Linked DNA regions of Saccharomyces cerevisiae S288C. The gene in region 2 interacts genetically with the main gene of each other region. Each region holds a gene or a part of one and is shown on either strand. Other genes may lie near its edges. The genes, in order: NUP188, TCP1, SDD2 and NEM1.

Region 1 (10,384 bases), on a different chromosome or scaffold from region 2:
GTGATCGAAAGAGAGCCGTTAATAGTGACATGGTTGAAATCGTGATGACGATGGCGCCACATGTGCCTCAGGAAAAAGTCGTGCAAGATCTCAGGAACACAGGGTCCATTGAGCACACAATGGAAAATATCTTCGCTGGCAAACTAGATTAGGCATTCTTATGTACCGCATTAAATATATTAAAAATCACAAATCGACTGGCGTAGGATGTATGCGCCTCTTTTTACTATCGCTACTATTGCAGGGGATCTTCTTCACCGGCAGCATGTTCACGATCCCACCTGCCTCGCGCTGGTTCTTAGCCGCTACCGCGCTCTCGTCAGTGTCTAGTGGCTCTGCATGCATCGCTGGCGGCTCTATCCTTGAACCGAATTGCGTTTCTGTGTCGATCGATACATACGAACAGAATCCGTCTGTTGATGAGATTAGTAGGGTCGAGCCATCCTCAGACCATGCTAAATCAGTTATGGGTGAGTAATGTATATTTCCCACAACGCATAACGGCTCCAATACATCCGTGTCGTACACGAGTACTTCGTTAGTCGTTGCTATGGCAAATACTAGCTTATAGGGCAGCTTAAGCACACTCTTCTGGCACGTTTCGTAAAATACGGGCGAGAAAGCCGCCATCAGCGCTGGTTTCTTCAAAGATGGGATTCTAATCGCAGGCCGGTTTTTAACGCCACCAGCGCTGTTCAGTATTCCAGATCTAGTATACACGTATACGCAGTTCGCGACTTCATCACCAGCCACCTTATACACACCACTGGGAATTACGACCAAACCACCACAAGGCGATATGCTGCATCGCCTAAAGAATGAAGGTAGCGTCTCGTTGTGAAAAAGGTAATTTGTCCTCAGGACATCACCTGGACAAGGCAGTTCTGCCTTGGCAATCTTACTTCTAAGTTTCAGCCCTGTAACCACTCCTGCAGATGAAAGAATGACTCCATATACATGCAGAGACCGGTCCGCAGACTGTGAGAGAATAAACTGATTTAATGGGTCCCATGCAACACCTTGGACGTAGTGACCATGATCCGACTGGCCGCATACCAGCATCCCAGCTCCAACATCGAACAGTCGTATCGAATTGTCCATACATGCCACCACTATGTTCCTGTTATCAGGTGACCACGCTAGATCGTAAATCTCTGCCGCCGCAGTAGCACCGCTACCACCACGCAGCCGTTTCCACACAACCCATTTCTCCTTGTTCTCGTCTGCTTCACTAGTCTCCGCATCCATTCCGAATGGTCTGACCACAGATTCTTGCTGTGTATTTGGATCTTCTTGCTTCCATAGCAGCACTTGGCCGTCATCGCCCGCAGACGCCAGTACGTCACCCTTCGAGTTGAATCGGATTACATTTATGGCCTGTTCGTGATGCGTCAGCGAGCCAAGAAAGTCAAGGCTTTCAATCTTACGCACCCCCCCATTTTGTCCGTTTTCATCTCTGTTCAACTTCCATATCCTAACCTTGTTATCACCACCAGCGGTGAAAAGCTTGTCGTTCGCACTGTTCTTTTGGAATGTGAGCGAGTAAACGGGTTGTGAATCATGCCAGTAGATTTGCAAATGTGAAGCTTCCATTGTCCTGCCCCTTTGCTCTAAGCTTTTCTGCCTCCTTCTTTTAAATTCTGATACGTACTATAACGCTATAATAATAGCCCATCAGTTAGACAGCGAGTTAACTAACGTGTTCGCCGGGCAACCCAAGGAAATAAGGCGTCCTTTTCACATTTTCATATTTTTTCAAATTTTTTTCAATTCTAATTTTCCTTTTTCTCCCCCACCGTCTATAAAAGCTAGTAGTTTTCTACTTTTCACCACAGAAATCTATTCCTTCGATAACAGTCCCTAAATAAAAACACGACAAAAAGGCCCCACGCAAGCATGTGCAGCAACGGACAGGCGTCGTGCGCACAAACTTGCTCAGGGGCCCGAATACTAGCACATATGTCAAATTCCTAATTAACGTTTTTTATATTCATCGTTTCTTAGAGCCGTAATTGTGCTGATATCAATATCAGGGAAGAACATACCATATAGAGGTGTCAAGTACACCGAACGATCGTGGTGCTCCCTCAGCCACGGGCGTGCTTGGACGCTATTCCCACATATATACGCAAACAATCTATGTCTTCTCCCTCCTTGCCAGAAAGCCGGCTCCTGCTTGTAGTTAAGGTATATATGTATATATTCCGGGTAAGAATATTTTGTAATACCAAAAATTTTCTTCTTGAAATGAATACTTTGAGACATCTTTAATATTCGAACAGAAACACAAATAAAGAGATAACCCTTTCCACCGCTAAAAAAAGGACCCCATCAGCCATGGCTACACCTTCATTTGGCAATTCCTCTCCACAATTGACCTTCACTCATGTTGCTAATTTTATGAACGATGCTGCTGCTGATGTATCCGCTGTGGATGCCAAGCAATTGGCCCAAATAAGACAGTTTTTGAAAGCTAACAAGACAAATCTTATCGAGAGTCTGAACACAATAAGGCAGAATGTAACTTCTTCCGGCGATCATAACAAGTTACGCTCTACAATTGCAAACTTATTGCAAATAAACGTCGATAATGATCCATTCTTTGCTCAATCTGAGGACCTTTCTCATGCTGTAGAATTCTTTATGTCTGAGAGATCATCTAGACTTCATATAGTATACTCACTTCTCGTTAACCCTGACATCGACCTCGAGACATATTCATTTATTGACAACGATAGATTCAATGTAGTGGGGAAATTGATTTCTATAATATCATCTGTAATCCAGAACTACGACATTATTACAGCTTCATCTTTAGCACATGATTATAATAACGATCAAGACATGTTCACAATTGTCTCATTGGTGCAGTTAAAAAAATTTTCTGATTTGAAGTTTATCTTGCAGATATTACAAATTTTGAATTTAATGATCCTCAACACAAAAGTACCAGTAGATATCGTCAATCAATGGTTTCTACAGTATCAAAATCAATTTGTTGAATTTTGCAGAAATATAAATTCAACAGACAAGAGTATAGATACCTCGTCACTACAATTGTACAAGTTTCAGAATTTCCAAGACCTCAGTTACCTCTCAGAAACGCTTATTTCCAGGATTTCATCTTTATTTACTATCACAACTATATTGATACTTGGACTGAACACTTCAATCGCGCAATTTGATATTCAGTCACCTTTGTACATGGATACAGAAACTTTCGACACCGTCAATAGCGCTCTAGAGAATGATGTAGCAACCAATATCGTCAACGAGGACCCCATTTTCCATCCAATGATTCATTACTCCTGGTCATTTATACTTTATTATAGGCGAGCATTACAATCGTCGGAATCATTTGATGATTCAGACATAACGAAATTTGCTCTGTTTGCTGAATCACATGATGTTCTTCAAAAATTGAATACTCTCTCAGAAATTCTATCCTTTGATCCTGTTTACACCACAGTAATAACAGTATTTTTGGAGTTTTCTTTAAATTTTATTCCTATAACTGCATCTACTTCCCGGGTTTTCGCCAAGATAATTTCAAAGGCACCAGAGCAGTTCATTGAGAATTTCTTAACTAATGACACTTTTGAGAAAAAATTGAGCATCATAAAGGCTAAATTGCCCCTATTGAACGAATCACTGATCCCGCTAATTAATTTAGCCTTAATTGATACCGAGTTTGCCAATTTTGAATTAAAAGATATATGTTCATTTGCTGTTACCAAAAGTAGTTTGAACGATTTGGATTATGACTTAATTGCTGATACAATAACAAACTCTTCTTCATCCTCCGATATTATAGTGCCTGATTTGATAGAGTTGAAGTCTGATTTACTAGTGGCGCCACCCTTAGAAAACGAAAACTCTAATTGTCTCTTGTCAATACCAAAATCAACAAAGGGAAAAATTCTTACTATCAAACAACAACAACAACAACAACAACAACAGAATGGACAACAGCCGCCAACTACTTCCAATTTGATTATTTTCCTTTACAAATTCAATGGTTGGTCTTTGGTGGGTAGAATATTGCAAAATCTATTACATTCATATATGGAAAAGGGTACACAACTGGATGACTTACAACATGAATTGATGATATCCATAATAAAGTTAGTCACTAACGTTGTCGATCCGAAAACCTCGATCGAGAAATCTAGTGAAATTCTGTCATATTTATCAAATTCTCTGGATACTTCAGCCAGCACCATAAATGGAGCGTCGATTATCCAAGTAATTTTCGAGATTTTTGAAATATCACTACAAAGAAAAGATTATACCTCAATTGTACAATGTTGTGAATTTATGACTATGCTGACACCGAATTACCTTCATCTTGTTTCTTCTTACTTGAACAAATCGGATTTGTTAGACAAATATGGTAAGACTGGTCTTTCCAATATGATACTCGGTTCGGTTGAATTATCTACGGGGGATTACACATTCACTATCCAATTGCTTAAGCTAACAAAAGTCTTTATTCGAGAATCTCTCTCATTGAAAAATATCCATATTTCCAAGAGAAGTAAAATTGATATTATTAATAAGTTGATTCTACATGCAATTCATATCTTTGAGAGTTATTACAACTGGAAGTACAACAACTTCTTACAAAAATTCGAAATTGCCTTCCATTTGACATTAATTTTTTATGATGTACTTCATGACGTTTTCACCATAAATCCACATCAAAAGGATCAGTTAATCATTTCCTCGTCAGCAAACAAATTGTTGCAGTTATTTTTGACTCCCATGGATTCCATTGATTTGGCTCCAAATACTTTGACGAATATTCTGATTTCACCATTGAATACCACAACAAAAATTTTAGGCGACAAAATTTTGGGTAATTTATATAGCAAGGTAATGAATAACTCCTTCAAGCTGTGCACGCTTTTGATCGCTATTCGAGGTAGCAATCGTGATTTAAAGCCAAGCAACCTGGAAAAATTGCTTTTCATAAATTCATCAAAATTGGTTGACGTTTATACCCTACCAAGTTATGTTCATTTCAAAGTGCAGATCATAGAGTTGTTAAGCTATTTAGTAGAGGCTCCTTGGAATGACGACTATCCATTTCTGTTATCTTTCCTTGGTGAAGCAAAGTCAATGGCATTTTTGAAAGAAGTCCTGTCGGACCTGAGCTCTCCAGTGCAAGATTGGAACCTTCTCCGAAGTTTGTACATTTTTTTTACTACCCTATTAGAAAGTAAACAAGATGGGTTATCTATCCTCTTCTTAACAGGTCAATTTGCCTCCAATAAAAAAATTAATGACGAATCCTCCATAGACAAAAAGAGTTCTATATTAACTGTTTTGCAAAAGAATTCTTTACTATTAGATTCAACGCCTGAAGAAGTAAGTTGCAAGTTATTAGAAACGATAACATATGTTTTAAACACTTGGACAAATTCTAAAATATTCATAAAAGATCCTAAATTTGTGAATTCCTTATTGGCTAAGTTGAAGGACTCAAAAAAATTATTTCAGAAAAAGGAAAATTTGACTCGTGACGAAACTGTTTCTTTGATTAAGAAATACAAATTGATCTCAAGGATTGTAGAAATATTTGCGTTGTGTATTTACAACTCCACTGATTCAAACTCGGAAATTTTAAATTTTTTGAATCAGGAAGACTTGTTTGAATTAGTTCATCATTTCTTCCAAATTGATGGGTTCAATAAAACTTTTCATGATGAATTAAACTTAAAATTTAAAGAGAAATGGCCCAGTTTAGAGCTTCAGTCGTTCCAAAAAATTCCATTATCCAGAATAAACGAAAATGAGAATTTCGGTTATGATATTCCGTTATTAGATATAGTTTTAAAAGCTGACCGTAGTTGGAACGAACCAAGTAAGAGTCAGACAAATTTTAAGGAGGAAATAACAGACGCTTCATTAAATTTGCAGTATGTCAATTACGAAATATCTACCGCAAAAGCATGGGGCGCACTAATCACCACGTTTGTGAAGAGGAGCACTGTTCCGTTAAATGATGGTTTTGTCGACTTGGTAGAGCATTTCCTCAAGTTAAATATTGATTTTGGTTCAGATAAACAAATGTTTACCCAAATATATCTGGAAAGAATTGAGTTGTCGTTTTACATTTTATATTCGTTCAAGTTGTCGGGAAAATTGTTGAAGGAAGAAAAGATAATTGAATTGATGAACAAGATTTTTACAATTTTCAAATCTGGTGAGATTGACTTTATTAAAAATATTGGTAAGTCACTAAAAAATAACTTTTATAGACCTCTTTTGAGATCTGTCTTAGTTCTTCTCGAGTTAGTCTCGTCAGGAGATCGTTTTATCGAATTAATATCTGATCAACTACTGGAATTTTTTGAATTAGTGTTTAGTAAGGGTGTTTATTTGATACTGTCTGAGATATTATGTCAGATCAATAAATGCTCCACGAGGGGTTTAAGCACCGATCACACCACCCAAATTGTCAACTTGGAGGATAATACTCAGGATTTATTGTTATTATTATCACTCTTCAAGAAGATCACCAATGTGAATCCCTCTAAAAACTTCAATGTTATTCTAGCATCATCCCTAAACGAAGTAGGAACTTTGAAAGTTATACTGAACCTATATTCAAGCGCGCATTTGATAAGGATTAACGATGAACCAATTCTTGGGCAAATTACTCTGACCTTTATCTCCGAATTGTGTTCTATTGAGCCAATTGCTGCAAAACTCATCAACAGTGGATTGTATAGCGTTCTATTGGAAAGTCCACTATCTGTTGCAATACAGCAAGGTGATATAAAACCTGAATTTTCGCCTAGATTGCACAACATTTGGAGCAATGGTTTGTTATCCATTGTTCTACTACTATTAAGTCAGTTCGGTATCAAGGTTTTACCTGAGACGTGCCTATTTGTTTCATATTTTGGAAAACAAATAAAATCTACAATATATAACTGGGGTGACAACAAGTTAGCAGTGTCAAGTTCGTTGATAAAGGAAACGAATCAATTGGTTTTATTGCAAAAAATGCTAAACTTGCTAAATTACCAAGAATTGTTTATTCAGCCTAAAAACTCTGATGATCAACAAGAAGCTGTAGAATTGGTTATTGGTCTAGATTCTGAACATGATAAAAAAAGGTTAAGCGCTGCATTAAGCAAGTTTCTAACACATCCAAAATACTTGAATTCAAGAATAATACCTACAACTTTAGAAGAGCAACAGCAGTTGGAGGATGAATCAAGCAGATTGGAGTTCGTCAAGGGTATCAGCAGAGACATTAAAGCATTACAAGATTCACTATTTAAGGACGTTTAACTTATTTTGCAGGTTATGTAAAGCTACATAATATAATAATGAACAGTGCAAGTGCAAGGGTGGCCCTTTGTTGCTATACTGCGGACTGCGACTGTATGAGCTTTTTCCATCCCAGTTCTATCCATTGTGTACTTTTTTTTTTCATCGCCTTACGAACTTCAAAAATATGTAAACAATAAGATAAGTAAATTAACCGAAGACTCTCATGCTTTGAAAGCGCCATAAGTGCGCGTGTTTGTGCCTTCTGATATGATATCGTATGCCTAAGTTTCCACAGTTTCGATTGATTTTAGTTTTGTTTTACTTAATATCAATGATACAATGGTCGGTAATCACTTTTTCGCTGGGGTTCTTTCTTAATGTCTGCATCTTTGCGTACTTCGTATTCTTCAAATCCTTGCCTGATTTACCGAAACCTCAGCCAAGATTTGTTGATATCGTACCGGAAAGTTCGAATACTGTGGATGTTGATAAAGAATTGAAGTCTGTCGAGGGTTTAATACAAGATGGGAACGCGCAAATTGGGAAAGAATTAGAGAGTATTGTTAATTTAATTATTAAAGATTTTGTTCAGCCTTGGTTCACAAAAATCGATAAGAATAGTGACGCAGAGTTCCTCAAAGTAATAAAGTGGAGATTATTACAAACGCTCCTAGTGGTGAAGGACAAGTTGATGAAGAATGATAGTGCCAGCTTGATTGTTCTGAAGCTGTTGCCTATATTTAACAAACATTTCAGCACTTTTTGTGATGCCAGAGAAGCTGTGCTAAGCGATTTGACTCTTGAAAGGCATAAATCAGCCAACATCGATCTACAAATTGCCGTTGAGTTTAATAAAAATTACAAAATACATAAATCATTATCATTGAAGCCGAATGCTCTTCAGAAAGAAATTGAAAAATCCATAAGGAAAACTGTAATCGGGCTCCTTCCTCACCTTTTTGATAATGATGAGTTAGATTCATTGCTTGTTTTCACATTAATGACGGAAGTTCTCACTACGTGCATTATTTCTCCATTAATTTTCAAATTTACTGATCCAGATAGTTGGAATTTAAGAATTGTAAGCCTTTCACAAAATTATTTCGAGGAAAAGCACAAAGTTCACAAGATAAGAAGAATGTTGAGTAAAGAGTTACAAGATCATAGAAAAGTGATGAATGACGTAGCGAACAAAGATGTTGGAGAACCCTCAAGTGAAAAATTGGAGCTTAATGCTGAATATACTGGAAAACAATTCGAGCATTATCTCAACCAGTTGGACTCCTTGTTGGATTTAAGTGATATCAAATATGTTGCGTATTCATTGGCCCTCAAAATATACCAATTGAAAGAAAATGAACATTTGACCAAGGAAAATTTGAAGTATAAGAAACGATTACTGCTTTCCTTAAATTTGATTGAATCAAAGTTATCGTTCCCTGGCTCGGAAATTGATACGGCAAGCAAAAAGCTTGCAAGAGAGGCTAATTATCCCGATTTAAATATGGATAATGGAATAGTATTGAAGGAAATGGCTTCATTTCTTACCTCCATCACATTGAAGGACATTGTAGACGATAGCGAGTTTCTTCCTTTTTTTGAATCATTTTTAGGCAGTGTTCCTGAAACACAGGGTTCAACATTTTTAGAGTATTCGCAAACAATTGAATCATTCAAAAATCCCTTGGAAGATGCTACATCTGAAGATATAATTTCTGGTTATTCAGGAATTAGCACAATGCAACTGCAAGAGATTTCTTCAAAGTTTTTTCATAACAATAACTTGCAAAATATGAAATTGCTGGATGAAGGTTTAGTGAAAAATATAATACTTTTCAGAAATTCATTTCAAATCAACAACGATGAAGACACATTTATCCTAGCTCGGAAAAGCGTTTTACTACTACAGACAGAGGCTATAAAGTATCTCGATGATAGATTTTTACCTCTTTTCAAGAAAACACCTTCATTTCTCAAAATGCTTTCAACGTCCCACATCATTTCGACTGATATATATGCTCACTTTCTGAGTAGAATCGGTGGTGTTAACAATCCAGAACAAAACAAAATAATAAAAGATAATGTGAAGACTGATTTTATGAATCCTGTCAGAATATTCGCAAACCCCGGCATCACAGATGCTTTAGATAATATAGTGAATGGATCGGGATCCAAGCCGCATAAATCAAGAATAAGCTCAAATCCCCGTTATTCTCAGCTCTTTGGTTCAGAAAATGACAACATTTTCAAAGATAAACTCTTCGACGATGAAAACGATAATACCTCAGAAATTTCTGTTGTCGAGGATCAGTTGGATCACCCACGTAATATGGAGAAAGTAAGTGTTTCCAGCGGGAATTCAGGCCTAAATCCTAGCCAATTTTATGGGTCAAACAACTTTAGGGATAATATAGCATCCTTGACTATTTCAATTGATCAGATTGAGAAAGAGCTTGAACTTTTAAGGCATTTGATTTTGAAGGCAGATCTGACCAACAATCAAATGCAGTTGAAAATTTTAAAAAAGTCACAAAGAACCCTATTAAAGGAACTAGAAATGAAGGAACTGTTGAAACAGCAATATATGGTACAAGAAAATGGTAATAGTTTGTTCAGAAAAACTAAGATATACATTAGGTCGTACTTCAGTGAGAATTCTAGTAATGGCCTAAAAGAAATAACTTATTATATCATCAATATCCATCATTTTAACAATGGGCAGGTAAGTTCTTGGGATATGGCAAGGAGATATAATGAATTTTTTGAATTAAATACATATTTGAAAAAGAATTTTAGGGATCTGATGAGGCAGTTGCAAGATTTGTTCCCGTCAAAAGTGAAAATGTCATTGAAATATCATGTTACAAAAACATTGCTTTATGAGGAACGAAAGCAAAAACTTGAAAAGTACTTGCGAGAACTATTATCTATTTCTGAAATATGCGAAGATAACATTTTCAGAAGATTTTTGACAGATCCTACCCCATTCAAACTGAACAAGGAATATATGCATGATGATATTCTGGAGGAGCCACTTCATGAACCTATTGGTAGTAGTAATAGCACAAGTAATAGCAGTTCTGTTGTTGATTTACAA
Region 2 (7,347 bases):
CGAGAATCATTCTTCTCATCACTCCGATTTCTCCTGTAATTAGGTTTGCTGTTTCTCGATCCCTGTTGTTCTTCATAAATAGCATGGATATCTAAGAACAGTTCAGCGACTGTCATATTTAGATGTCGATGACGTGTGTAGCGTAAAAATTTATATTCGCCAGATAGACCTCTCATAATTAATTGGCATGCGACCTTGTTATTGATATGAATGCCATTATTGTTCAGTCTGTCGATAATGTTTGTGACTTTTGTTTCAAATGCATCTGCAGGTGTACTGCCATTATATTGCAAATTTGCCAGGGTCACAATGTCGTTTGCCTCTTGGGTATCAGATTGCATTTTTTCAATACTTTTGGAAAGAATTTTCATGATATCCGTATAATCAACGGATAGGATGTCTTTGACCCAGGTAGGTAGGAATTGAGAGGGAGCAAATATTTGAAAAGTGTTATACAAGAAGGTGAGTTCATCATCAGTGATCTGACGTACGGGTTTTCCGTTTACTGTCGGAATAATACCACCGAGATTCGAGTTTTGTAAAAATTTGATGTATGTTTTAACCCAATTTGGAAAGTCATTAGGTGAGGTTAACATTGGTGGTGGTCTGACATATTTTTTAGTGGATGTCATATCAGAGTCCGCTGAGGATGAATCAGTAAATGTATTACCTGACTCAGGTGATGGAGTGCTCAGAGGCGTTCCAACTGATGATGGATACTGCGGAAACTGTGATTGTGGCCCAGGTGGAAAGTACATAGGCGACATTTGATAAGGTGTATACGGAATCATAGATGGGTGTCCGTAAAATGACCAACCAGATGGATTGGCTTGGTTTTGGGTCATCATGCACTGCTGTGGGTACGGCCCATTCTGTGGAGGTGGTACTGAAGCAGGTTGAGGAGAGGCATGATGGGGGTTCTCTGGAACAGCTGATGAAGCAGGTGTTGTTGTCTGTTGAGAGTTAGCCTTAGTGGAAGCCTTATCATATTCTTGAATTTTGGAAGCTGAAACGTCTAACGGATCTTGATTTGTGTGGACTTCCTTAGAAGTAACCGAAGCACAGGCGCTACCATGAGATATATGTGGGTAATTAGATAATTGTTGGGATTCCATTGTTGATAAAGGCTATAATATTAGGTATACAGAATATACTAGAAGTTCTCCTCGAGGATTTAGGAATCCATAAAAGGGAATCTGCAATTCTACACAATTCTATAAATATTATTATCATCGTTTTATATGTTAATATTCATTGATCCTATTACATTATCAATCCTTGCGTTTCAGCTTCCACTAATTTAGATGACTATTTCTCATCATTTGCGTCATCTTCTAACACCGTATATGATAATATACTAGTAACGTAAATACTAGTTAGTAGATGATAGTTGATTTTTATTCCAACAATGGCCTCTTTAACACTAATATCCCGACAATTTTCCCAAAATTCAAAGAATTCTCAGAAAGAGCTATTTTTTTTTTTAATAAAATTATTAGTACTAATTCCAGTATAAATAACAATGTTATTTACGTCTCTTTCGAAAATGCTCGTGTAGCTCAGTGGTTAGAGCTTCGTGCTTATAGCAACATTCGGTTTCCGAAGTTTCTGTGCCAAAGACCTTTCAAACAGGCCTTTAAAAGCAACGCGACCGTCGTGGGTTCAAACCCCACCTCGAGCACTTTCTCTTTTTTTTTCACACGCGTTTGCAACATGCCCGTATTACATGAGCTTATTTGACTTTAGATGGTTTTCAGTTCTTTTTTTTTTTTTTTTTTTTTTCAGTAGATTAATGCGAAGAGTTAAATCACCAATTCAAAGATGGCAGATGGACCACCTTGTGGGATAAGTATAAAAATAACTAAAAGTGGTCTTGTGTTAAAAATAGAATAGAAACCACTCATAAGGCAAAAGATGGCTGGAAAAAAGGGACAAAAGAAAAGTGGACTAGGCAACCATGGAAAGAACTCTGATATGGATGTTGAAGATCGTCTCCAGGCCGTTGTCTTGACAGACTCTTATGAAACTAGGTTTATGCCACTGACAGCTGTCAAGCCAAGGTGTTTGCTGCCACTGGCTAACGTACCTCTCATTGAATACACCTTAGAATTTTTGGCTAAGGCTGGCGTACATGAAGTTTTCTTAATTTGCTCTTCTCATGCCAACCAAATTAATGACTATATTGAGAATTCTAAGTGGAACTTGCCTTGGTCTCCATTTAAAATTACCACCATTATGTCTCCAGAAGCTAGATGTACGGGTGATGTTATGAGAGATCTAGATAATAGAGGTATCATTACTGGAGATTTTATTTTAGTCAGTGGTGATGTATTGACTAACATCGATTTCAGCAAAATGCTAGAATTTCACAAAAAAATGCATTTGCAAGATAAAGATCACATCTCGACAATGTGTTTGAGCAAAGCGAGTACCTATCCAAAAACAAGAACTATTGAGCCTGCCGCATTTGTCTTAGACAAATCCACCAGTAGGTGTATTTATTACCAAGATTTACCATTACCAAGCTCTAGAGAGAAGACTTCCATTCAGATTGACCCAGAATTGTTGGATAATGTCGATGAATTTGTCATAAGGAATGACCTCATCGATTGTAGAATTGACATTTGTACATCTCATGTACCTTTGATATTTCAAGAAAATTTTGACTACCAATCATTAAGGACAGACTTTGTTAAAGGTGTCATTTCAAGCGATATATTGGGAAAGCATATATATGCCTATTTGACGGACGAATATGCTGTAAGAGTTGAAAGTTGGCAAACTTACGACACCATTTCTCAAGACTTTTTAGGTAGATGGTGTTATCCCTTGGTCTTAGACTCTAACATACAGGACGATCAAACGTATTCTTATGAATCAAGACATATATACAAGGAAAAAGACGTTGTTTTGGCCCAATCCTGTAAAATTGGTAAGTGCACTGCAATTGGATCAGGAACAAAAATCGGAGAGGGTACGAAAATTGAGAATTCCGTGATTGGAAGGAACTGCCAAATCGGTGAAAATATTAGAATCAAGAACAGTTTCATTTGGGATGACTGTATCATCGGAAATAACAGTATAATTGACCATTCATTAATTGCCTCTAATGCCACGTTAGGGAGTAATGTACGCCTAAATGATGGCTGTATAATTGGTTTCAACGTTAAAATTGATGATAATATGGATTTAGATAGAAACACAAAAATATCTGCCAGTCCATTAAAAAATGCCGGCTCAAGAATGTATGATAATGAAAGCAATGAGCAGTTTGACCAAGACCTTGATGATCAGACACTAGCCGTTTCTATTGTTGGAGATAAGGGTGTTGGTTATATTTACGAAAGCGAGGTGTCTGACGATGAAGATAGTTCTACAGAAGCCTGCAAAGAAATAAACACTTTGAGTAACCAATTAGATGAGTTATACTTAAGTGACGATTCAATTTCTTCCGCCACTAAAAAGACAAAGAAAAGAAGAACGATGTCTGTCAATAGTATATACACGGATAGAGAAGAAATTGATTCTGAATTTGAGGACGAAGATTTTGAGAAAGAAGGTATTGCCACCGTGGAGCGTGCTATGGAAAACAATCATGATCTTGACACAGCATTATTAGAATTGAACACCTTGAGAATGAGTATGAACGTGACATATCATGAGGTGAGAATAGCAACAATAACTGCATTATTGAGAAGAGTTTACCACTTTATTGCAACTCAAACATTAGGTCCCAAGGACGCTGTGGTGAAGGTTTTTAATCAGTGGGGACTGTTGTTCAAGAGACAAGCCTTTGATGAAGAAGAGTATATTGATTTGATGAACATCATAATGGAAAAAATTGTAGAACAGAGTTTTGACAAACCGGATTTGATTCTATTTAGTGCATTGGTTTCTCTATACGATAATGACATAATTGAGGAGGATGTCATTTATAAATGGTGGGATAATGTTTCTACTGACCCTCGCTATGATGAAGTCAAGAAATTAACTGTAAAGTGGGTTGAGTGGTTACAGAATGCTGACGAAGAATCTTCCTCAGAAGAGGAATAAAAGTCCACGCAGTACCCTGCATAATCATGTATTACCATAAAAAGGCTTTAATATGAGAAAAAGGTGAGCGCTATATAGATTTAGTAATTTACATGTTACAGAAGCAAAAAGCAAATATATATATATTTTTTATCATATTAGTTTTTATCCTCAGTAGTACTACTGAAATAATAATCTCAGATTTTTTTTTTTCACTTGCCGAGGGACCTTGTCCTAAGTGGCAAAGAACTGAAAAAAAAAAAAATTGAAATGCGGTGGTATCACATGAAGAGTAAATAACTTAAGCAAAAGAGAGGCCACTGAGAGAGTACAAGAAAGGGACAATAACAATAGACAGAAGACTTTTATATTTGTAATAACTTAGCGATGTCCCAATTATTCAATAACTCGCGCTCAGATACCCTTTTCCTAGGAGGTGAAAAAATAAGTGGTGATGATATTCGTAATCAGAATGTTTTGGCTACTATGGCTGTGGCTAACGTCGTCAAGTCATCTTTAGGCCCCGTTGGACTGGACAAAATGCTTGTTGATGACATTGGTGATTTTACCGTCACCAACGATGGTGCCACTATTTTGTCTTTGTTAGATGTTCAACATCCAGCTGGAAAAATTTTAGTAGAATTGGCTCAACAACAGGACAGAGAAATTGGTGACGGTACTACTAGTGTTGTTATTATTGCTTCTGAGTTGTTGAAAAGAGCTAATGAATTAGTCAAAAATAAGATTCATCCAACTACCATCATAACTGGTTTCAGGGTTGCATTAAGAGAGGCTATTCGTTTTATAAATGAAGTTCTTTCCACAAGTGTTGACACTTTAGGGAAAGAGACGTTAATTAATATAGCCAAGACTAGTATGTCCTCTAAGATCATTGGTGCTGACTCTGATTTTTTCAGCAATATGGTTGTAGATGCTCTTTTGGCTGTTAAGACGCAAAATTCCAAAGGAGAAATCAAGTATCCCGTAAAGGCTGTCAATGTGTTGAAAGCTCATGGTAAATCTGCCACTGAATCACTGTTGGTGCCAGGTTATGCTTTGAATTGTACAGTTGCTTCTCAAGCAATGCCTAAACGTATCGCCGGTGGCAATGTGAAAATCGCATGTTTGGATTTGAACTTGCAGAAAGCTCGTATGGCAATGGGTGTTCAAATCAACATTGATGATCCGGAACAATTGGAGCAAATCCGTAAACGTGAAGCTGGTATTGTTTTGGAAAGAGTGAAGAAGATCATTGATGCTGGTGCTCAAGTTGTGTTAACCACCAAAGGTATTGATGATTTATGCTTAAAGGAGTTCGTTGAAGCTAAGATAATGGGTGTAAGACGCTGTAAGAAGGAAGATTTGAGAAGAATTGCACGCGCTACAGGCGCCACTTTGGTTAGTTCTATGTCTAACTTAGAAGGTGAGGAAACTTTCGAAAGCAGTTATTTAGGTCTTTGTGATGAAGTAGTTCAAGCCAAATTTTCTGATGATGAGTGTATCTTAATTAAGGGTACTTCTAAACATTCATCTTCTTCGATCATTTTAAGAGGTGCCAACGATTATTCTTTAGATGAGATGGAACGTTCTTTGCACGATTCTCTTTCTGTTGTCAAAAGAACGCTTGAAAGTGGAAATGTTGTCCCCGGTGGAGGTTGCGTTGAAGCCGCATTGAATATCTATTTGGACAATTTTGCCACCACAGTTGGTTCTCGTGAACAGTTAGCTATTGCTGAGTTTGCAGCTGCATTATTAATCATTCCAAAAACTTTAGCTGTTAACGCTGCCAAGGATTCTAGTGAATTAGTTGCAAAATTAAGGTCCTACCATGCCGCTAGTCAAATGGCCAAGCCAGAGGACGTTAAGAGGAGAAGCTACAGAAATTACGGCCTAGATTTGATTAGAGGTAAAATTGTGGACGAGATTCACGCTGGTGTTCTTGAGCCAACCATAAGCAAAGTCAAATCCTTGAAATCAGCATTGGAGGCTTGTGTAGCAATTCTAAGAATTGATACAATGATTACAGTGGATCCAGAACCACCCAAAGAAGATCCGCACGATCATTGATTCTTTGCGTAATCCGAACGAGATTCTGTATCTGCATGTAAACTAATAAACCTATATAAAATTTAATTATATTTTTTTCAGCTAGTTCTATTTTTGAATTTGATCGCTAACTCTGGGCAGTTGATAAGCGCTTCCCAGCTTTTCACGTGCGAGGTGGACTAATACGTAATAACGCGTACCTATTAGGACTTCGTTGAGTTGTTTTTCTTGTCCAAATGCAGAAGCGGGTCCCTACAAACTATTGTGTTTGTTCGTAAACGAGCAGGAACCCTGTTAAAGGAAAAAAGCTTAACGCTAGCGTTACATTTTAGTAAGGCGGCAATAAAAAAGAATGCGGAGTGTATTCCATGAATTCAATTGCGCTTACTGCTAAGCCTGTTTCTAAACATGATCCCCAGGGTGAATATCTCCCATAGTGGCTGTGTTATTCTGTCTAAATGTGGCAGCTAAATAAGGTTTTTTCCAAGCTATTTTTTTCTCTAAACGAGCGCACCTTAGCGGGATCGCGTCAAATTTTCGCCCAACGAATATTATTCTATTGTCTTCAGTGAATGTGCTTGTCGAAATCTATATATGCGCCGCCCTGGCAGGATCAGCAAATACAAGTTACTTGGAAAGTCGCGGCATAGAAAGTAGACACTTCTTTTGTCAAAGATTGATATTGCTTTCAGGGTGCGATAGTGCTGACTGTTCCTCTAAACAGCGATTTTTTACATACATTAACTTTTTGAAGTTGTAGGAACTATCTTTTCTCATTTATCCAACACTAAAACAAAATTGAGCTTTCCAGAAATAGTGAATCAAAAAAAGTTAAGTACAAATATTTACAGTTCAGCAGTATGAGCGAAGTCGGTATACAGAATCACAAGAAAGCGGTGACAAAACCCAGAAGAAGAGAAAAAGTCATCGAGCTAATTGAAGTGGACGGCAAAAAGGTGAGTACGACTTCAACCGGTAAACGTAAATTCCATAACAAATCAAAGAATGGGTGCGATAACTGTAAAAGAAGAAGAGTTAAGTGTGATGAAGGGAAGCCAGCCTGTAGGAAGTGCACAAATATGAAGTTGGAATGTCAGTATACACCAATCCATTTAAGGAAAGGTAGAGGAGCAACAGTAGTGAAGTATGTCACGAGAAAGGCAGACGGTAGCGTGGAGTCTGATTCATCGGTAGATTTACCTCCTACGATCAAGAAGGAGCAGACACCGTTCAATGATATCCAATCAGCGGTAAAAGCTTCAGGCTCAT
Region 3 (5,850 bases), on a different chromosome or scaffold from region 2:
TTTTTCTGTTTATTCTTAAGGGTGGCATTATTTTATAAAGGGGTATCTTTTGGACAAGCAATTGGTTCTTCAGTTGTGAAGGTGAAAACTTGAAGTTATCTTTTTGAAATACCGGATCATCGAGTAAATCCTGGATAAGCTGTAGCGAAACGAATTTTGTATAATAATTCGCTGGATTGGAGGTTAGAGAGTGCCAGTCCAGAGCACTGTGCCCAGGATCTAGTCTTATTTTGGTTCTTACAAGAGGCTTTCTTGACGACTTCGACATGGGCATATGCAGCGGGGATGATATGGCAGGATGAGCAACGCTTAGTCGCTGAGGAGCAGCGAATCTGACATTTGGTTTCGAGTTTGAAACATCTCTGTTCATGCCGTCACTACTCATATCTCTATGAGTGTAATCTAAGCACCTGCTAATATGTTATATTCTGCTTATTCGTCCTTTTGCTACACATAATTAATGTAACTTTAACTCTAGTTCTATAAAGGATATGATTTGTACTAAATGTAACATTATACGAAAAAACATATTATTCGTTTATATAAACTAATCAAAGAAGTCGTCATCATCTTCGTCGTCATCATTTTTAGCATTCTGCTTGTCAAATGAATTCAGATCTTCGCTGAAATCTTTCCGTTCGAAGATAATCTTACTGTTATTTTGTGAATTTTGTTGCTTGGCGATACCATTCAAGATTGAAACAATTTCAGCTTCAGTGATTTTATGAGTGACGTTGTTTGTAGCAATCAGTTTCTTTAAGTATGTCTCTACTGCTTGGGCCCTGTCTCTACGGACCAAGGCCACTCGAGATAATCTTTCTAAAGCTTGTGGCTCCAAGAAATTTGCAATAGCTGCACCAACGGGAGCGGAATTTTCACCTCCACCATTATTAGCACCGCTATTTCTATCGCCGTTGGTACCCCCACTGTTGTTTTTCAACTGAGCCAATCTGGCTTCCCTAATAGCTTGTAACTCTGGGTCCATATCTGAGCACACACTTCCTCCTGAATTGTAATCCAGAGAGCAAGAAGATTTTTCAACTTTTACTCTTGGTTCTCCTTGTAGAACCACAAGTGGTATAAAAATTCTCGCTTACCCAGCCCAAAAATTCTCATCTGTTTCTCATCTGTTTCTCGTCCGAATAAGTTTCCCGTTCGCAGCTAGGATTTCACCTGCTCACCATAATAGGCAACTTTCTTCCTCATGTAGGAAATTATACTATTGCTCTCTGTTGCAAGGTTATTTTTGAGCCTTAATACCATATTAGTAGATATAAATACATATATATCGTGTTAACCCATAAGTGGTAGTTTTAGTAGCTCGCTGCAAGATCTGCCTCATTCCTTTGTAGAGAACGACGTACCCACTACGCGTTTGAACATTTGCAACAAGCACGAGAGGAAGGAAGAAGAATACCAAGTATAAACGAGAATAATCACCATAGAAAAACCTATAAAAGACACTTCCATTACCATCTGCTAATAATAATACAATGGACACCAGCAAGAAAGATACTACTAGGTCGCCCTCACATTCCAACAGTTCTTCTCCTTCATCTTCTTCTCTCTCTTCATCTTCTTCCAAAGAGAAAAAACGTCCTAAGAGACTATCCTCCCAGAATGTAAATTACGATTTGAAAAGGAGAAAGATCATCACTTCTGAAGGTATAGAAAGATCATTCAAGAACGAGCATAGCAATCTTGCAGTTGAAGACAATATCCCGGAAGAAGAACCCAAGGAACTTCTTGAAAAGGACTCCAAGGGTAATATCATCAAACTTAATGAGCCATCCACCATCTCGGAAGATTCGAAGGTATCTGTCACTGGATTGCCGTTAAATAAAGGTCCTTCTGAGAAAATCAAGCGAGAGTCTCTTTGGAATTATAGAAAAAATTTGGGAGGCCAATCGAACAACTCAGAAATGACGCTGGTCCCCAGTAAAAGATTTACTCAGGTGCCGAAAAATTTTCAGGATTTGAACAGAAATGATTTGAAAACGTTTTTAACTGAGAACATGACTGAAGAGAGCAATATACGGTCAACTATTGGTTGGAATGGCGATATAATAAACAGAACTCGTGACCGTGAACCTGAAAGCGACCGCGATAATAAAAAGCTATCAAATATTAGAACCAAAATAATACTTTCAACGAATGCTACCTATGATTCAAAAAGTAAACTATTTGGCCAAAATTCCATCAAGTCAACATCGAATGCGAGTGAAAAAATTTTCAGGGACAAGAACAATTCAACCATAGATTTTGAGAATGAAGATTTTTGTTCGGCTTGTAATCAGTCAGGTTCTTTTTTATGCTGTGATACATGCCCCAAATCCTTTCACTTTCTTTGCTTAGACCCACCAATTGATCCGAACAACCTGCCTAAAGGTGATTGGCATTGTAATGAATGTAAGTTTAAAATCTTCATAAATAACTCAATGGCAACTTTAAAAAAAATTGAATCCAACTTCATTAAGCAAAATAACAACGTCAAGATTTTTGCTAAATTACTTTTCAATATCGATTCCCACAACCCAAAACAGTTCCAGCTACCAAATTATATAAAAGAAACCTTTCCTGCTGTGAAAACGGGTTCGAGAGGACAATACTCTGATGAGAATGATAAGATTCCATTAACTGATAGACAATTGTTTAACACTTCTTATGGCCAAAGCATAACTAAATTGGACTCTTACAACCCGGATACACATATAGATTCAAATTCAGGTAAGTTTTTAATTTGTTACAAATGCAATCAAACCAGACTAGGTTCATGGTCTCATCCAGAAAATTCAAGATTAATAATGACTTGTGATTATTGTCAGACTCCATGGCATTTGGATTGTGTACCGAGGGCTTCTTTCAAGAACTTAGGTTCAAAATGGAAATGTCCTCTACATTCCCCAACTAAAGTTTACAAAAAGATACACCATTGTCAAGAAGATAATAGCGTAAATTATAAGGTGTGGAAAAAACAACGATTGATAAACAAGAAAAACCAACTTTATTATGAACCTTTACAAAAAATAGGCTACCAAAATAACGGGAACATTCAAATCATACCAACAACTAGTCATACAGATTATGATTTCAATCAAGATTTCAAAATTACACAAATAGATGAAAATTCCATTAAATATGATTTTTTTGATAAAATTTACAAATCAAAAATGGTTCAAAAAAGAAAACTCTTTCAATTTCAAGAAAGTTTAATAGATAAGTTAGTATCAAATGGATCCCAAAATGGCAATAGCGAGGATAATATGGTCAAAGACATAGCCTCTTTAATATATTTCCAAGTTAGCAACAACGACAAGAGTAGTAACAATAAATCGGCTTCCAAAAGCAATAACTTAAGAAAATTATGGGATTTGAAAGAACTGACTAACGTAGTCGTGCCGAACGAACTAGATTCTATACAATTCAATGACTTTTCCAGCGATGAAATAAAGCATCTGTTATATTTAAAGAAGATTATCGAATCCAAACCAAAGGAAGAACTGTTAAAATTTTTAAACATAGAAAATCCCGAAAACCAATCCGAATAGAAACGGCGTACATACATAAAGAATAAATCAGGAACGTGAACACCTTCCTTACATATATACACACATACATAGGCATATGTATCGCATCTTAAAGTGAGAGATCTACCTATTTTCCTTTTTTTTCCATTTACAACATAGCAATTGATGTTTTTTTCCCTTCTAAGTCATCTCGATGTCATCATCTTCATCGTCTTTGTAGTCAACTTCTTTCCTGACCCTCAATTTCTTCATCACAATATTTTCGTGCCCTTTCTTGGTTTCATTTTTGTTAGACGGTGAATAACTGTCATCATCACTGTCTGATTCTCGATCCCCATCACCTTCTTCGTCGTCAGCCTGTGATCTCGCATGATGAACTTTCTTCTTTTTTTTTTGTGATTCATTGTTTTCGTGAGCTAATAACCTCTTTTGAAGCCTTTGTCTTTGAGTTTGTGACGTGTGAAGAATCCGTCCGATTTTAGCTTTTATATTGTTTTGTATTTTTTCAGTCAAGCTCTCTGGTATGTATGTTTTGAAAGATAACTGGGCCTCCTGAACCGTTGCAAAAGGTTTGAACAAATCTGATGGTAAGTTTAATTTACCTGGATATGCTGAATGTTGCCAATTTTTCTTCTCTTTTAAATTCAATAGAATCATTTGCGACAGCTCACCTATGATATACATTTTCTGACCGTAAGGTCTATGCTTCTTTGGCGCTTCTTCTTTTTGTGGTCCTTCTTCTTCATCAATTTCATCCTCAACTAACTTATCTTGATAGTTTTTTACCCTTTCTGATAAATAATAGAGCAAACTGAAGTTCTCTTGGGCGGCAATAGAGTCAAAGTAAAACAGCAAATAATCAATCGCTGTTGTTAAAGCATTTAGATATGCGTCTCCTTCGGAATCTAAACCTCCCACAATATCAGGGTGATGTGCAATCGCATGTATCAACCTAGGCAAAGCTCTTTCAAATATCGTCCCTTTTTTAAATGATTTTAAGCCAAATGTAAAGTTTATCCATATCTTCGTTGTGGTTTTCAGTTCGACATCTGGTTCATAAGCAGTAAAAAATACTAGTGGTAGGAACTTTATGGAAATCAGTTCATTAGCAACATAATCTTTCAGTTGTTCCAAAAATGTTTTTCTTACTGGCAGCGATTCATCTTCAACCAAATTAATTAATTTAATAATGTCCGAAGGTTTGATAAAGTTGTTCAAATTAGAAATCCTGGCCAGTTTTAAAACTTGAATTCCTGCCACACACCTCAATTTTGTTTGATAATTACTGGGGGTGGGATAAAACTCCTTGTTAAACTCGGAAATCAGCTCACCACCACTTGCAATCAAGTAAAAGAATAACTTCATAGTTTTTTCGGTGAAACTTTCTGCCAATTCATCTCGTGGAACATCCGGAGCAATTGATCTCAATTTGTTGGTGAACAGCTTTAAAGTAAACACCTTATTACCTATTGCAGAATATTTCGTGTCACTTAATAGAGAATCTTCTACCCAGTCAATTTCTTTTTTTGAATCACCAACGACCTGGTTTGATAATAGAACTTCTTTAATTAGGTATGATATGATATCAGTGGAATCATCATTTAGGACGTGAGGGAATTTTTTAAATATTTCCATGAGTACAATAATATGAGATGTAAAATACTTGTCTTTTTGCAAATCTAAAGGTAGGATACGTATTTTTATCTTTTTCAGAGTTTCTTCAGCTTTGGGCGATAAAGCGATAAGTTTTGTGGCGTATTTCGTTATTTCTGGTTTACTTTCAACTGCAAAATCGTATAATTTGGTGAAGAAAAACGTGTCGTCAAAATCCACTTGATCCTTTAATGTTTTGGAAGCCTTGTAAAGGGTTTTTAAAGCTTCTTCCAATGACAAGTTATCATTTTTTTCTGCATCTGGATCATCCAAATCCTTGATAATGGTTTTTAATGTTCTAATCTGATCTTTAAATAATGTGGGATTGACTTTCGATATATCATCCAAGATTCTTCTTTTCAAATCCAATTGTTTTGCGTCAGAATTATTAGATAGGTTCAATAAAACACTGATGTTGGATACATTATAAATTATTGGTGAGGCTCTAAAAAGCAAAATTTGTATTACCTTGGCGATATCACGTGGCATAATGGAAGCACCAGTAGATATATTATATTTTTTAAATAGTCCTGGCGTTTGTAACTTACTGACCAATTCATTGTAACAATTTTTAAAAGTAAGAAACGGAATATCGTTGGTGACACAGGCATTTAATAAATAAAAGATTCTTTCGTCGTTAAATTGTTTTATTGTTTCGAGGGCGTCGATT
Region 4 (6,887 bases), on a different chromosome or scaffold from region 2:
ATCAATTTTAATTGAGAAAGGTGTTTCTAGGTTATCCAAATTTAAAGCACAGGGTACAACTGAAGATTTTGATGTTAGACTCAATTGTTTGTTGTTCTGTTTGGGAAATAATTCGCTCACGTCAACCAGATCGTCCTTTTCGGTAGCACAGCAGTCTTTCTGTGGATGGTTCTGTTTCGCAGGTTCTAACTTTTCGAAAGGAGTACTTTTCGAAGATTTGTCGTCTTCCACATTGGGCACAATCACTTGCTGCACTAATGCTTTAAGGTAGTCATATATCCTTGTTAACACGCTGTTCCGTGTTGAAGATAGTGATAAGATAGGCATGATAATGGATTTCCTTACTTCCCCAACTTTTTGCTCTCTTGCATTTGTCTGTTTGTCGGATGATTAATCACTGTTTTTCATTTATTAATCATCGTTTTTCTCGCTTTTTGCCCGTATTGGAATGTGAAGAGAAAAAAAAAATGATAAGAATTCTAAAAAAAGATACTCTTCGTTCGAATGGATGACTCTAAGAAGGGTAACAGACTTTCAATCTTCAAATAACATTATAATCTCTATTCTAGCCCTTAGAGGAGCATGTCATGCGTTCAGAACCTCCATTAATAGCTTACTTTATAACTTTCTATCAGTCACAAGTTAAACGTCGACAATTTTTGTGGGAAATGGTCTGTTTTTTTTCTTCAGTTAATAAATCTCGTTCTTGACTGCAGGTAATTAATGGTATCGTGATCGTTACCTATGCTTACACACTATAAGAATTTTCTTCGTGAGAATTGGCCCATTTCTCTGGTTCTTCTGAAGAGAGTTTTGCTGACCATCAATCAGCTTTACGAAAATTTACCGCCCAATTTCTTGCCAAAATGCCATCCATATTCCCATTCATTGGAATTCTTTCACTATTTTATCATTTCAATGTTCTTTGTAGCAACAGGCTCTTCTTTTTCACGCTTACTGTGATCATTTGTTATAAGTGCTGGTATTTTCTCTCTTCTGGAATTCCGTGCTATTGATATCACGACATGTGCGCTTCTCATGATTTTGCCGCCCAAGGCACATTTTGCCGTCTGTTTTTAACCTAATATTTATGTCGCGGGTATATTATCATATATTGCGTAAGAGGATGGTATTGCTGATGGGAAGTGGTCAACAAATTCAATAGGCACTGAAATGTAAGGGCTGACAATGTAATTGGATAAAGAAAGGCAACACATGAAAGGAAGAAAAAAAAAACGTTATTTATTATTATGTAAAACTATTGACCTCACCTTTGTGATTCACGCTGTCCTCGTGAAAAAACTTTTTTTGTTTTTGTAGACCTAATAAAAGAACCTTTTTTAACAATGTCCTAACAATAATTTCAACAGTTGCCAAACCTCAAATAGTGTTGGAATAAAAATCCACTATCGTCTATCAACTAATAGTTATATTATCAATATATTATCATATACGGTGTTAAGATGATGACATAAGTTATGAGAAGCTGTCATCGATGTTAGAGGAAGCTGAAGTGCAAGGATTGATAATGTAATAGGATAATGAAACATATAAAACGGAATGAGGAATAATCGTGATATTAGTAAATAGAAATATAGATTCCATTTTGAGGATTCCTATATCCTCGAGGAGAACTTCTAGTATATTCTGTATACCTAATATTATAGCCTTTATCAAAAATGGAATCCCAACAATTATCTCAACATTCACCCATTTCTCAAATAGTATGTTTTGGTGTTAAAGAAGAACATTGGAAACAAAGGAAAGGTAAGCATTAGCCCGGAAACAAAACAAGAGGAAGTAATATACACCTTTTTGGTTAACTTGTTCGTTCAGAAGAGCCCAAGTATGTAATTATTTTTTGCAAATCTTTCCTCAGTAACGATAACGACACGAAGGTAATATTTTAAAACATTTATCAACAAGTCACTAAATATAATCTGGGTCCTATCACTATTAGAGCTTCTATGGCCAAGTTGGTAAGGCGCCACACTAGTAATGTGGAGATCATCGGTTCAAATCCGATTGGAAGCATTTTTTGCATTGATTTCCCAATTCGTAGCTGATGATCACCCTCTGAAGCTATCGGACATTTTTTTTCTTTAATTTTTTCAGCGAGAGAGCTGGCAGTGAACGTACAAGAGCAAGCTCTCTAAAGAACTATTACTCTCCTCGTTCCCCTCTCATGTCTTTTAACAGATAAACAAGCAAAAGAAGGAACTATCATACTTAGAAAAACATGTCTTTCTTAGGTTTCGGTGGTGGTCAGCCTCAATTATCATCTCAACAAAAGATTCAAGCTGCGGAAGCTGAACTAGATTTGGTCACAGACATGTTCAATAAATTGGTTAATAACTGTTATAAAAAATGTATCAATACTTCTTATTCCGAGGGTGAGCTGAATAAGAATGAATCTTCGTGCCTAGACAGATGTGTGGCCAAATATTTTGAGACCAATGTTCAAGTCGGTGAAAACATGCAGAAAATGGGCCAATCATTTAACGCAGCCGGTAAGTTTTAGAAATGTGCATTAAAGCAGTAATGATAAGACGAAAATAAGAAAAGAAATCCATAAGCTGTTTTACTCGACTCAACGTTATAATTAGTATTATTGATTCATATCCTGTATATACAAGTAACATTATACTCTTTTCTGTACTTCATCTTTACCTTTTTATCTTACATGGCACATGTTGTTTGAAAACAAGATCATAGGTGGATAAAGCAAGCCGAATCTAAAAAAAAAAAAATGTCTCTATTGGAAAACTGAATGCATAACGATATTCCCTTTTCATGCAGATAACACTGACTAGTTTCAATTTGAAACGCATCTTCGTGTTATTTCACCGAAACGCACTCGGCTCAGCATGTTAAAAAGCACATCAATTTAGGGCTCTGCGCGTCCTTCTGCGTATTCTTCCTTGTAGAAATGCAATTAAATGGAGAGCAGAAATTTTTTTGTTACATATTGTTTTCCTTAAAGGGAAATATTAAAAAATAGTCTAAAATGAAGAGGATAGTAGAATTCCACCAATTTCTTTACGTTTTATATTATTCGTAATCTTTTGATCTGTTATTCATTTTTTCTTGTCACTCCGTTTCTAACATTTTTGACCATTTCTAAGACCAAACTGAGTAGAAGCTATTCATACTGTAAATTGGTATTTTAGCATCACATCAATAATCCAGAGGTGTATAAATTGATATATTAAGGTAGGAAATAATGGGGTGTACAGTGAGTACGCAAACAATAGGAGACGAAAGTGATCCTTTTCTACAGAACAAAAGAGCCAATGATGTCATCGAGCAATCGTTGCAGCTGGAGAAACAACGTGACAAGAATGAAATAAAACTGTTACTATTAGGTGCCGGTGAGTCAGGTAAATCAACGGTTTTAAAACAATTAAAATTATTACATCAAGGCGGTTTCTCCCATCAAGAAAGGTTACAGTATGCTCAAGTGATATGGGCAGATGCCATACAATCAATGAAAATTTTGATTATTCAGGCCAGAAAACTAGGTATTCAACTTGACTGTGATGATCCGATCAACAATAAAGATTTGTTTGCATGCAAGAGAATACTGCTAAAGGCTAAAGCTTTAGATTATATCAACGCCAGTGTTGCCGGTGGTTCTGATTTTCTAAATGATTATGTACTGAAGTACTCAGAAAGGTATGAAACTAGGAGGCGTGTTCAGAGTACCGGACGAGCAAAAGCTGCTTTCGATGAAGACGGAAATATTTCTAATGTCAAAAGTGACACTGACAGAGATGCTGAAACGGTGACGCAAAATGAGGATGCTGATAGAAACAACAGTAGTAGAATTAACCTACAGGATATTTGCAAGGACTTGAACCAAGAAGGCGATGACCAGATGTTTGTTAGAAAAACATCAAGGGAAATTCAAGGACAAAATAGACGAAATCTTATTCACGAAGACATTGCTAAGGCAATAAAGCAACTTTGGAATAACGACAAAGGTATAAAGCAGTGTTTTGCACGTTCTAATGAGTTTCAATTGGAGGGCTCAGCTGCATACTACTTTGATAACATTGAGAAATTTGCTAGTCCGAATTATGTCTGTACGGATGAAGACATTTTGAAGGGCCGTATAAAGACTACAGGCATTACAGAAACCGAATTTAACATCGGCTCGTCCAAATTCAAGGTTCTCGACGCTGGTGGGCAGCGTTCTGAACGTAAGAAGTGGATTCATTGTTTCGAAGGAATTACAGCAGTTTTATTTGTTTTAGCAATGAGTGAATACGACCAGATGTTGTTTGAGGATGAAAGAGTGAACAGAATGCATGAATCAATAATGCTATTTGACACGTTATTGAACTCTAAGTGGTTCAAAGATACACCGTTTATTTTGTTTTTAAATAAAATTGATTTGTTCGAGGAAAAGGTAAAAAGCATGCCCATAAGAAAGTACTTTCCTGATTACCAGGGACGTGTCGGCGATGCAGAAGCGGGTCTAAAATATTTTGAGAAGATATTTTTGAGCTTGAATAAGACAAACAAACCAATCTACGTGAAACGAACCTGCGCTACCGATACCCAAACTATGAAGTTCGTATTGAGTGCAGTCACCGATCTAATCATCCAGCAAAACCTTAAAAAAATTGGTATTATATGAAGGAACTGTATAATTAAAGTAGTGTTTAGATACGTAAATTCTGTTTCCGAAGATGCAAGAAGGAGCAGCAGCACCAGAAAAAATTACTATTTTTCTTCTCCATTAGAGTCTATGATGGAATGCCAAATGAAAAAGCCATTTTGTTCAACAGTTCTTGATCTCGTTAAATCGTTCCGGGTTTTCAATTGAAAAACAAGGGTAATAAAATCGCATGAGAAAAAAAAGGTCCAGACACTTTTTTAGAAGAAAAACTCTTGAAAACAATTGATTCTTCTACGTAAGGACAGGGTATTATCTCGAATTCTTCTCCCTGGTAAATACTCGGGATATATAGAACCTATTTTGCATCCTATTCTCACTTTTCTTTATTGTTGTTAATTTCTGGACATTGTTTCATTAATTGAATGAATGCCCTAAAATATTTCTCAAATCATTTAATAACTACAAAGAAACAAAAAAAAATCAATGTTGAGGTGACAAAGAATCAAGATCTACTAGGCCCTTCAAAGGAAGTTTCGAACAAATATACTAGCCACAGCGAAAATGATTGCGTTAGTGAGGTGGACCAACAGTACGACCACTCCTCAAGCCACTTAAAAGAATCTGATCAAAATCAAGAGCGCAAAAATTCTGTTCCTAAAAAACCAAAAGCTTTACGTTCCATCCTAATAGAGAAAATAGCGTCAATTTTGTGGGCACTACTACTTTTTCTTCCGTATTATCTGATAATCAAGCCCTTGATGTCTTTATGGTTTGTTTTTACCTTCCCACTAAGTGTCATCGAGCGTCGTGTAAAACACACCGATAAGAGAAACAGGGGTTCAAATGCTAGTGAGAATGAGCTGCCTGTCAGTTCAAGCAATATTAACGATTCTAGCGAGAAAACAAATCCTAAAAATTGCAATCTAAATACGATTCCCGAGGCAGTTGAGGATGACTTAAATGCCAGTGATGAGATAATTCTACAAAGGGATAATGTTAAAGGCTCATTACTTAGAGCTCAATCTGTCAAATCAAGGCCAAGAAGTTATTCCAAATCAGAACTATCACTTTCTAATCATTCAAGTTCTAATACCGTATTTGGTACAAAACGAATGGGAAGGTTCTTATTTCCAAAGAAGCTGATACCTAAATCCGTGCTTAACACACAAAAGAAAAAGAAACTGGTTATAGATCTCGATGAGACCTTAATTCACTCGGCTTCTCGAAGTACAACGCATAGTAATTCTTCTCAGGGTCACTTGGTGGAAGTGAAGTTTGGATTGAGCGGAATTCGTACACTATACTTTATTCACAAGAGGCCTTACTGTGATTTATTTTTGACAAAAGTTAGCAAATGGTACGACCTTATCATTTTTACAGCATCCATGAAAGAATACGCTGATCCTGTGATAGATTGGTTAGAAAGCTCCTTCCCATCCAGTTTTTCAAAAAGATATTACCGTTCTGATTGCGTTCTAAGGGATGGTGTTGGATACATTAAAGATTTGAGCATTGTCAAGGACTCCGAAGAAAACGGGAAAGGCAGCTCCTCTTCTTTGGATGATGTCATTATTATAGATAACAGCCCGGTAAGTTACGCAATGAATGTAGATAACGCTATTCAAGTAGAAGGATGGATAAGTGATCCAACTGATACGGACTTACTGAACCTGTTACCTTTCTTGGAGGCTATGAGGTATTCAACAGATGTCAGGAATATACTGGCATTGAAACATGGAGAGAAGGCATTCAACATAAACTGACAATTGTTATTGTGTCCTTCCAAAAAAGATGAGAATTTTAGGTGATAAATCGCCTATCCATTGCTGCTCATTTAATGGAAAGGTTATTGCATTCAGGGAAAAAAGTAACGGGAGAAAAAAGAGAAAAGACCTCTTTTTTGTTTTCTACATACGAGCATATTAATTATTTAGCAGGAAGATATACTTGATCTAAACAGTATATATATATATATATATATATATAGGTTGGGAATTAATCTTGAAATTTTTTTAGTCTTACGTTATCTTCAGCAGTGACACGCTAAATGCCCGTATCTTACTTTACATTTTGCTGTCAGGTTTTTTGATTTCTTTTTCATATTTTATGCAGTAGCGAAAAGAGACAAGACTATGAAAAAATTTTCTAGCGTTAGTAAAGTATTAATACTGCAATTAGTTAGGATAGCAGAACGAACAAATGGCAAATAATACGTGGAAGTTAATTGCTACTACAGCTCTTATATCGGTGTTTTCAACCCAAC

Evidence for each region.
Region 1: mutations in TCP1 (region 2) and NUP188 together harm fitness more than expected from each alone (negative genetic interaction), as found in Saccharomyces cerevisiae (4 studies listed by BioGRID, with this or other methods).
Region 3: mutations in TCP1 (region 2) and SDD2 together harm fitness more than expected from each alone (negative genetic interaction), as found in Saccharomyces cerevisiae (3 studies listed by BioGRID, with this or other methods).
Region 4: mutations in TCP1 (region 2) and NEM1 together harm fitness more than expected from each alone (negative genetic interaction), as found in Saccharomyces cerevisiae (4 studies listed by BioGRID, with this or other methods).

The regions. Positions count from the first base shown.
Region 1 is NC_001145.3:59,503-69,886, reverse strand, and holds NUP188 (Nup188p), read left to right. Parts: upstream 1-2,337; coding exon 2,338-7,305; downstream 7,306-10,384. Other genes in the region: CUE4 (Cue4p), read left to right, coding at 1-152; CAC2 (Cac2p), read right to left, coding at 187-1,593; MDM1 (Mdm1p), read left to right, coding at 7,565-10,384. UniProt on the Saccharomyces cerevisiae protein: Functions as a component of the nuclear pore complex (NPC).
Region 2 is NC_001136.10:882,813-890,159, forward strand, and holds TCP1 (chaperonin-containing T-complex alpha subunit TCP1), read left to right. Parts: upstream 1-4,419; coding exon 4,420-6,099; downstream 6,100-7,347. Other genes in the region: YDR210C-C (gag protein), read right to left, coding at 1-1,115; GCD6 (translation initiation factor eIF2B catalytic subunit epsilon), read left to right, coding at 1,915-4,053; UPC2 (Upc2p), read left to right, coding at 6,939-7,347. UniProt on the Saccharomyces cerevisiae protein: Molecular chaperone; assists the folding of proteins upon ATP hydrolysis. Known to play a role, in vitro, in the folding of actin and tubulin. In yeast may play a role in mitotic spindle formation.
Region 3 is NC_001145.3:412,489-418,338, forward strand, and holds SDD2 (Sdd2p), read right to left. Parts: upstream 986-5,850; coding exon 548-985; downstream 1-547. Other genes in the region: IRC21 (Irc21p), read right to left, coding at 1-385; RCO1 (Rco1p), read left to right, coding at 1,494-3,548; YMR075C-A (uncharacterized protein), read right to left, coding at 3,200-3,565; sister chromatid cohesion factor PDS5, read right to left, coding at 3,708-5,850.
Region 4 is NC_001140.6:111,254-118,140, reverse strand, and holds NEM1 (Nem1-Spo7 phosphatase catalytic subunit NEM1), read left to right. Parts: upstream 1-5,046; coding exon 5,047-6,387; downstream 6,388-6,887. Other genes in the region: STP2 (Stp2p), read right to left, coding at 1-327; protein transporter TIM10, read left to right, coding at 2,240-2,521; GPA1 (guanine nucleotide-binding protein subunit alpha), read left to right, coding at 3,224-4,642; TCD1 (tRNA threonylcarbamoyladenosine dehydratase), read left to right, coding at 6,824-6,887. UniProt on the Saccharomyces cerevisiae protein: Catalytic component of the NEM1-SPO7 complex which acts as a phosphatase and dephosphorylates the phosphatidic acid phosphohydrolase PAH1. Essential for the formation of a spherical nucleus and meiotic division.